Linked DNA regions of Callithrix jacchus. The protein of the gene in region 2 purifies or fractionates together with the protein of the main gene of each other region. This does not show direct contact. Links are inferred from orthologs where the notes say so. Each region holds a gene or a part of one and is shown on either strand. Other genes may lie near its edges.

Region 1 (6,353 bases), on a different chromosome or scaffold from region 2:
ATGAAGTACACAATTCAGACTGCTGGGGCCAGATGCCAGGAACAGAGAAGTCAAAATACCTAGTCTGGCCAGGCACGGTGGCTCACGCCGGTAACCCCAACAAATTGGGAGGCCAAGGCAGGTGGATCACCTGAGGTCAAGAGTTTGAGACTAGCTCGGCCCAGCATGGTAAAACCCCGTCTCTACTAAAAATACAGAAATTAGTTGGGTGTGTTGGCAGGTGCCTGTAATCCCAGCTACTAGGGAGGCTGAGGCGAGAGACTCCCTTGAACCCAGAAGGCAGAGGTTGCAGTGAGCCAACATGGCAACACTGTACTCCAACCTTGGTGACACAGCAAGACTCCATCTCAAAACACACACACACACACACACACACACACACACACACAAAACCTAGTCTGTCAATTCCCACACCACCCCTACACCGTTTTTTGTACTTGGGGGTGGCCCATAGGTCACTAGCCTGTGCCTCACCGTGTTACATTTTTCAATCAGCAGCCGGATCTCAGGTTTCACTTTCTCGATAATGTCCACCAGCTGCTGGTTGCTTTTCAGCATCCCATTGGGCATGACAAACACCTTGGTTCCTGGCAGAGATACGAAGGTCAAACGATCAGGGAAGAGGAAAGGACACAGTATCCCCTAATTTTTTCTCATTTTCTCTATACCGATCACATGCTACGACCTCTGCCTTCCATTTGTCACAACCCTACCATGACACCACTATTAGAATCAATGAGAATGGATGGAACAAAAGAACAACAGATGCACATCTAAAATAGGACAGAAGGCTTAAACTCTGTTTATTGGAAAACCAGGAACACTAAATAACGAGCACGTTTGGAGGAGCTGGGAATGCTGCTTCTGGGAAATAAGATTAGATCTTGCTTCCTGGTCAGAACACTATATCCATCCTGCTTCTCAGGGCTGCAAGTCAGGGGTGAGGTGAGGGGAGAGGAGGTAAGGGTGGCTCTTACCTTGGAAGGCTTCTTCACACTCATCCAACCTTCGCTTCTTATAAGTGGGCTATGGATACAAAGAGGCAGGGATGAGCCTGCTTTTGACACCCACATTTCCATCACAAGATACCCTTCAAACAAGTTTAATCCCTTCCTCAGCCTCACAGCTTGTGTTATTAATTTCTGTACAATTTCCTAAGTACATATAAAGCTTTAAGAAAAGGTTCTCGGAGGCTGGGCACAGTGGCTCACATGTGAAATCCCAGCTCCTTGGGAGGCCCAGGTGGGTGGATGACCTGAGGTAAGGAGTTCAAGACCAGCCTAGTCAATATGGTGAAATCCTATCTCTACTAAAAATATGAAAAATTAGCCAGGTGTGGTGGCAGGCGCCTGTAATCCCAGCTACTTGGGAGGCCGAGGCCGGAAAATCGCTTGAACCTGGGAGGCAGAGGTTGCAGTGAGCTGAGATCACACCACTGTCTTCTAGCCTGGGTGACAAGAGCAAAACTCTTCTCAAAAAAGAAAAAAAAGAAAAAGAAAAGATTCTTGGGCTGGGCGCCGTGGCTCATGCCTGTAATCCCAGCACTTTGGGAGGCCGAGGCATGTGGATTACTTGAAACAAGCCCAGGCAATGTAGGGAAACCCCATCTCCACAAAAAATACTAGCTGGACATGATGGAACATGCACCTGCAGGCCCAGTTACCTGAGAGGCTGAGGTAGGAGGATGGCTTGAGCCCAAGAGTTTGAGGCTGCAGTGAGCCGAGATTGTGCCACTGCACTCCAGCCTAGGTAACAGAGTGAGACTCTGTCCCCCCTCAAAAAAAGAAAGAAAAGGTTCTTGCCACAAAGCAAATTATGCTCTAGTTGGGAAGACCAATCTTTCCAGAAATACAATACATTAAGTATTATAAAGAATAGGAAAAAAGAACCAATCAAAGCAGGGAGGATAATTAAGGGAATATGTACAAATCTGCTGGTTCCACAAAGGAACACATTATTCAGTCAACAAACATGTATTTAGCAACTGCCATAGATGAGGATCAACACTAGGCACTGGGAATACAGAGAATAAGATAGTTCCTTCCAGCTGGACCACGGTGGCTCATGCCTGTAATCCCAGCACTTTGGGAGGCCAAGGTGGGCGGATCACTTGAGGTCAGGAGTTCGATACCAGTCTGGCCAACATGGTGAAACCCTGTCACCACTAAAAATAAAAAAATTAACCAGGCATGTTGGTGTATACCTGTAACCCCACCTACGCAGGAGGCTGAGGCGGGAGAATCACTTGAACCTCGGAGGCAGAGGTTTCAGTAGGTAGGTCAAGATCGTACCACTGTACTCTAGCCTAGGCAACAGAGTGAGACTCTGTCTCAAAAAAAAAAAAAGAAGATAGATCCTGCCTTCCAGATATACAAGTTCCATCAGTGAGGCAGTACTACAGACAAGAATACAGTATCATCAGTGTTCTAACAGCACGTGAACATGTGACTGGTAAGGACTAGGTGTTAAAAATGTAGAGCAAAGACGGTGATTGCAGTTATATAGCAAGAACAACTCTGTATCCCGTAATACTACTCAGGACATAGAAAAAAGGTAAGTAAAGTCTTCTTCAGAGCCATGGGAAAATCCAGGTAACCTGATAAAGCTAGTTTTCTTTTATTTGAAACTCACTCTAACACTGAAAATAGCATTAGCATATTGACTTCATGTCATAAATGAAACTCAGGGTCTAAAAGGAATATACGAGAGGCCCCGTGCAGTGGTTCACGCCTGTAATCCCAACTCTGGGAGGCCAAGGTAGGCTGATTGCTTGAGCTTAGGAGTTGAGACCAGCCTGGACATCATGGTGAAACCCCGTCTCTACAAAAAATACAAAAATCAGCTGGGCATGGTGGCGTACTCCTGTAGTCCCAGCTACTTGGGGGGCTGAGGAAAGAAAATTGCTTGAGTCCGGGAGGTCAAGGCTGCAGTGAGCAGTGCTTGAGCTGCCACAGTCCAGCCCAGGCAAAAAAAAAGTGACACTCTTTCTCAAAAATAAATAAATAAATAAGAAATAAAAGGAGTACACTAGAGTCAGCATGTCTATAACAGAGTCCTAGTTCCCAGGTCCAAATCCCACTGTTGCCTCTGTACATGTTGAACTGACAAGGAAACAGGACAGAGGACCGACTGCTCAAGAACACAAAGATAAACATAGGACACTTACACCATCCAGTCCATCATGGCTATTGGTGAGAAGAATGGGGTCAGGGACTGGGAGATTCATGTCAGAGTGGATCTGAGTTAGGTCATGGATGTTTAAGATTGGTTCCTGAAAGACACCCACCCCAAAACATTAATCTTTTCAAGTTGAACAAAGAAGTATTTGATTTGAAGGGCAAGAAATCAAAGTGCTTTTACAGTTTAAAAAAATAAAAAGAAGAAGATTCAACACACAATTTGTCCCGCTTGACAGTAATACCAGGGCCAAAAAAATTGGGGAATCTGAGGAAAGAAAAGGGTCTCTCACCTTCAGAAAACTATCAAGTTCTAATAACTTCTTTGGGAAAAAATTTGCCACCAAGTCTTCTGCCTAAAGAGGAGGGAAAATACAGCTGAATTAGTATCTGTGGGAAGGTCTCTCTATATAGATATCTCCTCTTTGGGAAACTCTCAATTAACCAACACCCATTTTTCTATTTATTTCACTCACCTCACTTGTGATCCGCTCCCTGAAAGAATCAACCTAAAATTAACAAAGAGAGCAATTGAGTACCTGGGGACAGAGGTAAGAGCAGGATAGAGAATCCCAAATCCAACTGTCTTTCCCTCACCTTGTAACTGTAATATGAAGCTGAGAGGCCCCCAGACTGCAAATACTTTATTTTTTTGAGGACCCATTTTTCCATCTCAGGAGAAGGACGCAGGGCTTGAGGGCAGCACCTGCCTGTCTCCTCTCCTCTCCCTCCCACCCTCCCTGTGTCTGAAGCTGTCTGAATTTCATAAGCAGACAAAAGACAGGTAGTTAGGGGAGATGTGAGCTCACAAACGTGCCAATCCCCACCCAGACTTGGCCTATGATACAAGGCAGACCACCAAGGGCAGGGGCAGTGCCCAGGGACGTTGCTGGGCTGGGGGATTTCCAGCTGTCACCGGCCTAAAGCCCTGAGTCCAACACGTGTCCGCGGAGGTGACCCCGGGACTCTTCATCATCAGACACGGTACAGAAAGCCATCCTATATTTTCTTCTCCCGCGAAGCCGACCCCAGGAGCTGGGGGCTGGGCTGAGCCGAGCGGAAGCTCAGAGCTGGTATCCCCAGGGAGACAAAGACGCCATGGGGAGTAGGAAGCCGGTCAGACTACTGGGGGATCAAAGTGAGGGGCAAAAAGGCCGGACTGGCGCCGCTACCTTGAGCTTCACTTCCTGATCCACCTTCAGCAACGAGGCCATGGCCGGGCCGGGCCGTGTCCGATCCGCGGGACACCGGAGGCGCTGTGGACTCCGGGGAGGGGGCCAGAGGTACCTGCGGAATCTCGGCTGACCTCGGGACCCGGCCGCCCTCGCTGGCTCACTCACTGCTCGCTCGTTCCCTCCCTCCGTGCCGCCCGCCCGCCCGCCGGCAGCCTGCTGCCTGGTCGCACTCTCGCTCGCCCTCCCGGCTTTCGCCGCTCACGCCGGAAATTGCGTCACAGCCAATCGCCGAGACTTCTGCGAGGTTGTGCACGTGCCCTGCGCAGCCGCGATGAGACTCGGCTTTGGACGCTCCGGGCGGGGTTCACAGGGTCCGGGCCAAGAGTCGGATAGGGGTGAAGTAAAAGGGAGAGCGGTGGGTGATGGTGCACTGAGAACTGAGCCTCCGAGAGACTCGGAAATGGTGTGACCCTCTGTTGGCCCGGAACTCGCCTTCACCGAATGGAATTTCTCAGCCGCTGCAATCCCGAGGACAACGCCGTCGCGCCCCAGTGACGTAGGCTCGGAGAAGTCGGGGACCCGGGTACTGGGTTCTCGGGGTGTAGTCCCTGATTCCCGCTGCCTCTGCCGAGCCTCAAGTGTTTAGGCTAGAGCGGAAACGACAAGTGCCGTTTTATCAAGCTTTCCTGATGCATTTCTCTTCCACTGATTCTAGCAAGCTTCCAGACCTCAAAGATACTATCTAATGGGCAAATTGACGGCCAGAGTAGGGTAGGGCTTGTCCAAGGCGTTTCCAGTACATTCTGAGCCAGAACCCGTATCTCCAAACTTCTACGGCAATGCTGTATCTATTTTTCTAATGGAAGCTTGAGACTATACATCTTCATTCACCCATTCATTCGACCTCTCGAGATTGGATATTTCGTTCAATAAAATGGGCCAGGGCACTGTCTCAGAACCTAGAAATATGTGAGTCACACGTAGACTAGAATCTTCTAGCAGCCACGATTAAAAAGTAAAAGAAACAATTGAACATTTTAGTTATGTATTTAACCCAATTTATCCAAGTATTTCAACAAGTATTCAACATTAAAAAAATCCAGATCTTATGCATTCTTTTCTCATACCAAGTCTTCAAAATCCAGTGCATATTTTATACGTAACTGCACATCGAAATAAGGTAACACCACATTTGCTGTCAGTAGCCACATGTGGTTGGTGGCTTCTGTACCGAACAGCACAGCTCTGGGAAATCAAAGGCAAACAAGACTCAAGGTGGCTGGTTCCATGGGGCATAATATTGGAAGAACACCAGAAAGTAAACTGACAAGGTAACTGCAAAATTTGATAAATGTTAAGAAATAAGTGGCAGACATGGAAAATACCAGAGATCTATTTTACATAGAATGGCCAAGGAAGGCCTCTTTGAACAAGTGACAATCTGTGATCTAAAGGATATAAAGAGGTTAGCATGGGAAGAATGAGAAGAAACTTGAGAGATCTAAGTGCAGCTCAGGTAAATGCTGTAGGAAAGAAGAGATTTTCTTATTGTCTTGAAGACAAAGAGCAGTGAGCTGGGGGTGAGGAGGGTTGTTAGTAAACAATCTAGATTAAGTGCAAAAGAAGGTCATCAGATTTATATTTTGGGGTCGCTCTTGCTGTTGAACATTTATCCTAGTCTGCCCCCTCTACTGTGCTATCCCCTGTCTTGAAATGAGGGAAATACACAATTAAATGGAGTGCAGCACACTGACTATGGTCTTTGGAATCAGAGACCTGGGCTTCAAATCCCACCTCAGCTCCTCACTAACTGGAATCTTGGGCAAATTATTGAAATGCTGGGTCTCAATTCCCTAATCTGTAAAATGGAATTTTAATAATTAGTAATAAATAATAGTATGTAATTTTGTAGTGGTGTGAATATTAGAAATAATATATGTAAAACAATTAGCACAGTGCTTAGATACAAAATAAATAGCGACTGTCAGATGAGTAAGTGATC
Region 2 (6,117 bases):
ATTTATATTTCAGTCCATGTTGATAAGTTTTACATTTCTATGAAGCCATATATTTCATCTTAAGTTTGAAAATGTATTGGCATAAAGATGTCTAACATGCTGTCTTACATTTCTTTAAATCACCACTGTGGTTATATTATTCTTTCCAAATGTTTATTTTCTCTCTCCTTTTACTATCAATCTGGTTGATACTCTGTTGTCTTACATAACTTTCTCCTGTTTATTACTACCTTTTCTCTGTGTTCTTTGGCCTAACTCTATTGGTCTTTTCTATATTACTCAAATTATTTTTCATGATCAGTGGTACAGCACTTGCCAGTATTTCCAGATTCCTCCTTCTAGGCTCAGGAGAAGATTACACCTCCCTATCCTAGTAAAACTTGGCAAGGCCAACTGACTAGCTCGGGCCAATGATAGATGTCACTTTTGATGGAAACATCTAAAAACCTATGCATGGGGAAACAATGGTCTTTTCAATAAACAGTGCTGGGTCAATTAGATATTTATATGGAAAAAACAAATTGTGACCGCCCCCCATAACAATCATTTCCAGATGGATGGCAGATATAAATTTGAACAATCTTGGTGAGAAAAGATTTCTTTTTTCCTTCTTTTTAAAAATAGAGATGGGGTCTTGCTCTGTTGCCCAGGCTTGTCCTAGGCTCAAGTGATCCTCCTGCCTCGGCCTCTCAAAGTGCTGGGATTACAGGCCTAAGCCCAGATAAGATTTCACAAACAGAGCAGAAGAACACTAAGGTAAAAGGGGAAATGACAAATTGGCACATATTAATATGAAAAACTTTTGTTCCTCAAAAGGTATCATTAAGATGGTGAAAAAGGCCAGGGCGGTGGCTCATGCCTGTAATCCAGCACTTTGGGAGGCTGAGGTGGGTGGATCATGAGGTCCAGAGTTCGAGGCCAGCCTAGCCAATATGGTGAAATCCCATTTCTACTAAAAATACAAAGATTAGCCAAGCATGGTGGCATGCACCTGTAATCCCAGCTACTCAGGAGGCTGAGGCAGAAGAATCACTTGAACCCCAGAGGTGGAGGTTGCAGTGAGCCGAGATTGTGCTACTGCACTCCAGCCTGGGTGACAGAGTGAGAGTCCATCTCAAAGAAAAAAAAAAAAAGGTCACATAGGCCAGGCGCAGTGGCTCATGCCTGTAATCTCAGCACTTTGGGAAGCTGAAGTGTGTGATCACCTGAGGCCGCAAGTTCAAGACCAGCCTGGCCAACATGGCAAAACCCTGTCTCAACTAAAAATACAAAAAGAAAAAAAAAATTAGCCAGGAGTGGTGGTAGGCGCCTCTAATCCCAGGTACTCCGGAGGCTAAGGCAGAAGAATTACTTGAACTCGGGAGGTGGAGGCTTCAGTGAGCCGAGGTTGCGCCATTGCATTCCAGCCTGGACAATGAGAGCTAAACACCATCTCAAAAAAAAAAAAAAAAAGGTGAGGAGATAATATATATATTATACACACACACACACACACACACACACACACCGGAGTATATGCATTACATGTAATACTCTCCTCACCATCATTTTTTTCTTCCAGCATATGGATTACAAAGATCTTCTCCCACTGGAAGAAAAATTAGTATTTACCATGTAAAAAGGCTTCCTACACATCCGTATGAAAGACATAGAACGCCCGTCCAGTAGAGAAATAGAAGCCTCGGACACTGCACAAGAGAAGATACCCTAATGGCCAAAAAACACAAGGGAAGGTTCTCAGTTCATTAGACTTCGGTTAATGCAAATTAAAATCAACACGTAATACCATTACTCATCCAGCACAATGGCTAAAATAACTAAGATGAACAGGACACCACCACGGACTCGCGAGGCTGAGTGGTAAGTGTCGCGAGACTGAAGAGTGGGTGTCGCGAGACTGACGAGTGGGTGTCGCGAGACTGACGAGTGGGCGGCGCAAATGGTCGAGGTGTTCACTCGCCATTTTGTGTGAGGGACGCTGACGCTACACACGCCTGGCCTGGCCTCTCCCCACTGCAGCCCTGGCCGCTACCAACATGAGCCTCCCGGAGAGTCCCGGCAGCCCCTCTACTCTCGACCATGTCCTGGAAGACCCGCACCAGGGCCAGCGGCCCGGAGACGAGAGTGAGGCAAAACAGGTAATGGCGGAGACAGTGGAGAGCCGCTTGGAGTCAATCTTGCTCCCACCGCCACAGCTTCCAGAGGAAAGGGTCGCGCCTCAGGATCCCACAGATTGTGGCGATACTCTCCACATCTTGGTCAATGGGGGTCGCGGTCATGGAGCCATCAACGCGGGGCAGGAAGTGACTCCACTACCCGCGGAGGGCCGGGAAACAGCCTCTGCCTCCGCGGCAACTGACGGCAGCCTTAAAGATGGCTTTCAGGGTGAAGAGAGGCGCGGCCCAGGTGGGGAGAAGGCTCTAGAAACCTGTGGCACAGGGAGGTTGGAGTCTGAAGTGATTGCAGTGGGGAAGCCCGAGGACCTGGAGCCTGAAGAGTGCGCCATGCTCTCAGCCCCAGCTGATGAGAAGGCCGGAGGCACAGAAATGGACATGGCGGAAGGAAACCGCGCGACAGATGAGGTAAACATGGAGGCAGGGCCTGGGCCCCTCAACATGGATCTCCATCTGAACCCCCTGGAGGCCATCCATCTGGAACTGGACTCCATGAATGCCGAGGCTGACAGGGCCCTCCTGCAGGTGGAGCGCAGGTTTGGGCCGATACATGAATACTACCTGGAGCGGAGGAATGACATGATTCGCAGTATCCCGGGCTTCTGGGTCACAGCTTTCCACAACCACCCACAGCTGTCTGCCATGATTAGAGGCCAAGATGCAGAGATGTTAAGCTATTTAACCGATCTGGAAGTGAAGGAGCTCAGACACCCGAGGACAGGCTGCAAGTTTAAGTTCTTCTTCCGAAGAAACCCTTACTTCAAAAACAAGCTGATTGTCAAGGTGTATGAGGTCATATCCTACGGCCAAGTGGTGTCTTTTTCCACTCTAGTTATGTGGCGCCGGGGCCATGGACCCCAGTCCTTCATTCATAGGAACCGACATGTCATCTGCACCTTCTTCACTTGGTTTTCAGACCACTGCCTTCCAGAGTCCGACAGGATTGCTCACATTATTAAAGAGGACATCTGGCCGAATCCACTGCAGTACTACCTGTTGCATGAAGGCGCCCATAGAGCTAGACGTCGCCCGGTAAGGGAGCCAGTGGAGATCCCGAGGCCCTTTGGGTTCCAGTCTGGTTAACCTTGGCCTTTGGAACTGCTCCCGCAGAAGGTCTCCTGCCACCACCTGCTGGACCTGTGCTTGGGCAACAGTATTAGGTATGCCCTTTCCTGTTTTTGTTCTGACTTTTCTGTACTCTGTTTAAACTTTCCGTTCTCTCACCCTGAAGATTGAGACCTTGGTGGCTATGCTGCTCCCCTTTCGCCTGGTCTTCTTGCTGTTCTGCATTAACATCATAGGCTCCCAGCCGATGAGTCACATCCTTCTAAGCGAAGGATGCTGTAGACTGCACTGTCTTTACCTTTGTTTGGACTCTGTTTGTTCCCAGGACCTCTGGTCTGGCTCCTCCTACCTGGATTTCTAGCTGTGTCTAAGAATGTATTCTGCTCACCCTGTTCTGCATATGACAGTACAGGCGGCCTGTGGACAACTGCTAGGCATTGATGAAGTCAAGGAAGAACAGCAGGGGGCAGCTTGGTCTGCGTGAGTCATGGGACTCCCCATTACTTTTCCTGAGACTCTGGTCACTGATTGCTGCCTGCTGCTGGCTATGCCCACCACCTTGGGCAGCTCCCTGCTAAGTGAACATATTCCAGACCATTGCCAGCTCTACTCTCTGGTTTCTAATAAACAGGGATCTCCGGAACACTGGTGGTGGACACAGGTTTCCTGTCAACACACAAAAGACCCGTTCCTCTACCAAAAGATCTTTGAATTCTTCACCACCATACCCTCGTCACCCAGAAATCCTACTGTCAAACAAGTGGTTGAGGGGACATGATAGACCCTATCCTCATGGCAAGGGTAATATCTTGACAAGTACCAGGCTTTCTCAGCCACCATCAGTGGCCTCATTAAAATCTAGGTACCTTTATTTGCCTCCTTTCCTGTACCTAATAAAGTGCCAGAGTGGGTGTACACTTTCTTTTCTCTCATCTCTCTTCTGTCTTCCTTTTTTTTTTTTAAGTGGTAATTATGAAATACCCACAGAAGCAAGCCTTTTAGTTTCTTGGCTCTTTTTGTCATGTCCAGGGCCTCCCTCATCTATCTCTTCTGTCTTCCTTTTTTTTTTTTTTTGAGACGGAGTTTTGCTCTTGTTACCCAGGCTGGAGTGCAATGGCGCAATCTTGGCTCACCGCAACCTCCGCCTCCTGGGTTCAGGCAATTCTCCTGCCTCAGCCTCCCGAGCAGCTGGGATTACAGGCACGCACCACCGTGCCCAGCTAATTTTTTGTAATTTTAGTAGAGACGGGGTTTCACCATGTTGACCAAGATGGTCTCGATCTGTTGACCTCGTGATCCACCCGCCTCGGCCTCCCAAAGTGCTGGGATTACAGGCTTGAGCCACCATGCCCGGCCCTTTTTTTTTTTTTTTTTTTTTTTTTTTAAAGTGGTAGTTATGAAATCTCCGCAGAAGCAGGCCTTTTAGTTTCTTGGCTTTTTTTGTCATGTCCAGGGCAGGCTCTTCTATAAAATACACTGCCAAATCTCTTATTGCCCACTCTTTCTTTTCAGCCCCTCACCCCTCTTTAGCAATTCCTAGAGGTTTTAAAGGAATACAGAGCTGGATGGAATGAAAGGTGATTTCTAGTTGAGAGTGGATGGAAGAACTAAAGAGATTGTGATGGGTGCTCTAAGCATGGAAAACTGAACAAAAAGGCAGAGGTGAGGCAGAAATGATTCAGGGGAAAATTGGGCCTAGAATGAACACTGGGTTGACTTGAGATCCTGTGAGGAAGGGGAACTTACTCTGTTAGTTATAATGGGAAGAGAAGTACTTTTTTTTTTTTTGTATTGGGATAGAAGAATAGAAGATGGTTGGAATGTTAATTTATGTTGCCTAGAGAAGGGTTCTTTGAATACACACTGCAATTTTGGGTATCTTCTTTCTTGTTTGCATGTGGCCTTATTTATGTAGAAGATTAATACTGTGTTGTAACACTTTCTTTGTTTCTGTTTACTGGGAAGATTCAGCTGTGCAGAGTTACTTTCAATTTGGAACATTTGGAATAATATCGGTCTTTCTTTTTTGTACATTATAGAGACTTAATGTGGATATTCATGACAGTTTTCAGCCTGGTCTTGTTTCTGTTAAAACCATATCTTTAACATATTAATTTGAATAACCTGGTCTTAATCTGATGCAGAAGACTGGAAACTGTTGTGTTCATGGATAAATAAATTACAAAAAAATTTATGGTTCTTATTGTCTTTGTTGATAATTTATCCTGGTAACAACTTAGTAATTAATATGCCTGTTTTGTTTTGTTTTGTTTTTTGAGACGGAGTCTTGCTCTGAACCCAGGCTGGAGTGCAGTAGCGTGATCTTGGCTCCCGGCAACCTCCACCTTCTGGGTTAAGCAATTCTCCTGCCTCAGCCTACCAAGCAGCTGGGATTACAGGCGATCAGCACCACGCTGGGCTAATTTTTGTATTTTTAGTAGAGACAGGGTTTCACCCTGTTGGCCAGGCTGGTCTGGAACTCCTGACCTTGTGATCCACCTGCCTCGGCCCAAAGAATGGAACTGCTTGTGAGACTGCTTTGTGAAATTGGAATGATACCATTGGCATATTTGTCTGATTCCATTAAGTCAATGGCATCTTTCCTTATAAATGGATGATGGTAAAATTAAAGCTTGTTACTGAAAAAGAAAATGATGGAAAATAACAAAGGTTGAATGTAACAGAGATACCAGAAGGCTCTTATACTGCTTATGGGAGAGTAGCTTTGTACAAATACTTTGGAAAGTTGTTTGGCAGTATCAGTACACACCCTCTGATTTAGCACTGGGAATATACCCAACAGAAATCTATACATATATTCACACAAAGATGTGCAAAAAGCGTTTGTAACAGCACAATTTTAATGGCTGACACTGGG

The links.
Region 1: the proteins of TSPYL6 (region 2) and PSME3 purify together in Homo sapiens (affinity purification with mass spectrometry; 3 studies listed by BioGRID and IntAct, counting the BioPlex papers as one, with this or other methods). This does not show direct contact. The link is inferred for Callithrix jacchus from reciprocal best matches to the Homo sapiens genes TSPYL6 and PSME3.

What each region holds. Positions count from the first base shown.
Region 1 is NC_133506.1:121,060,272-121,066,624, forward strand, and holds the start of PSME3 (proteasome activator complex subunit 3), read right to left. Parts: upstream 3,935-6,353; 5' UTR 3,849-3,934; coding exon 3,774-3,848; intron 3,686-3,773; coding exon 3,653-3,685; intron 3,533-3,652; coding exon 3,470-3,532; intron 3,272-3,469; coding exon 3,167-3,271; intron 1,027-3,166; coding exon 978-1,026; intron 588-977; coding exon 475-587; intron 1-474. UniProt on the Homo sapiens protein: Subunit of the 11S REG-gamma (also called PA28-gamma) proteasome regulator, a doughnut-shaped homoheptamer which associates with the proteasome. 11S REG-gamma activates the trypsin-like catalytic subunit of the proteasome but inhibits the chymotrypsin-like and postglutamyl-preferring (PGPH) subunits.
Region 2 is NC_133515.1:60,261,780-60,267,896, forward strand, and holds the start of TSPYL6 (testis-specific Y-encoded-like protein 6), read left to right. Parts: upstream 1-1,958; 5' UTR 1,959-2,036; coding exon 2,037-3,257; 3' UTR 3,258-6,117. Other genes in the region: ACYP2 (acylphosphatase-2), read right to left, coding at 1,612-1,707.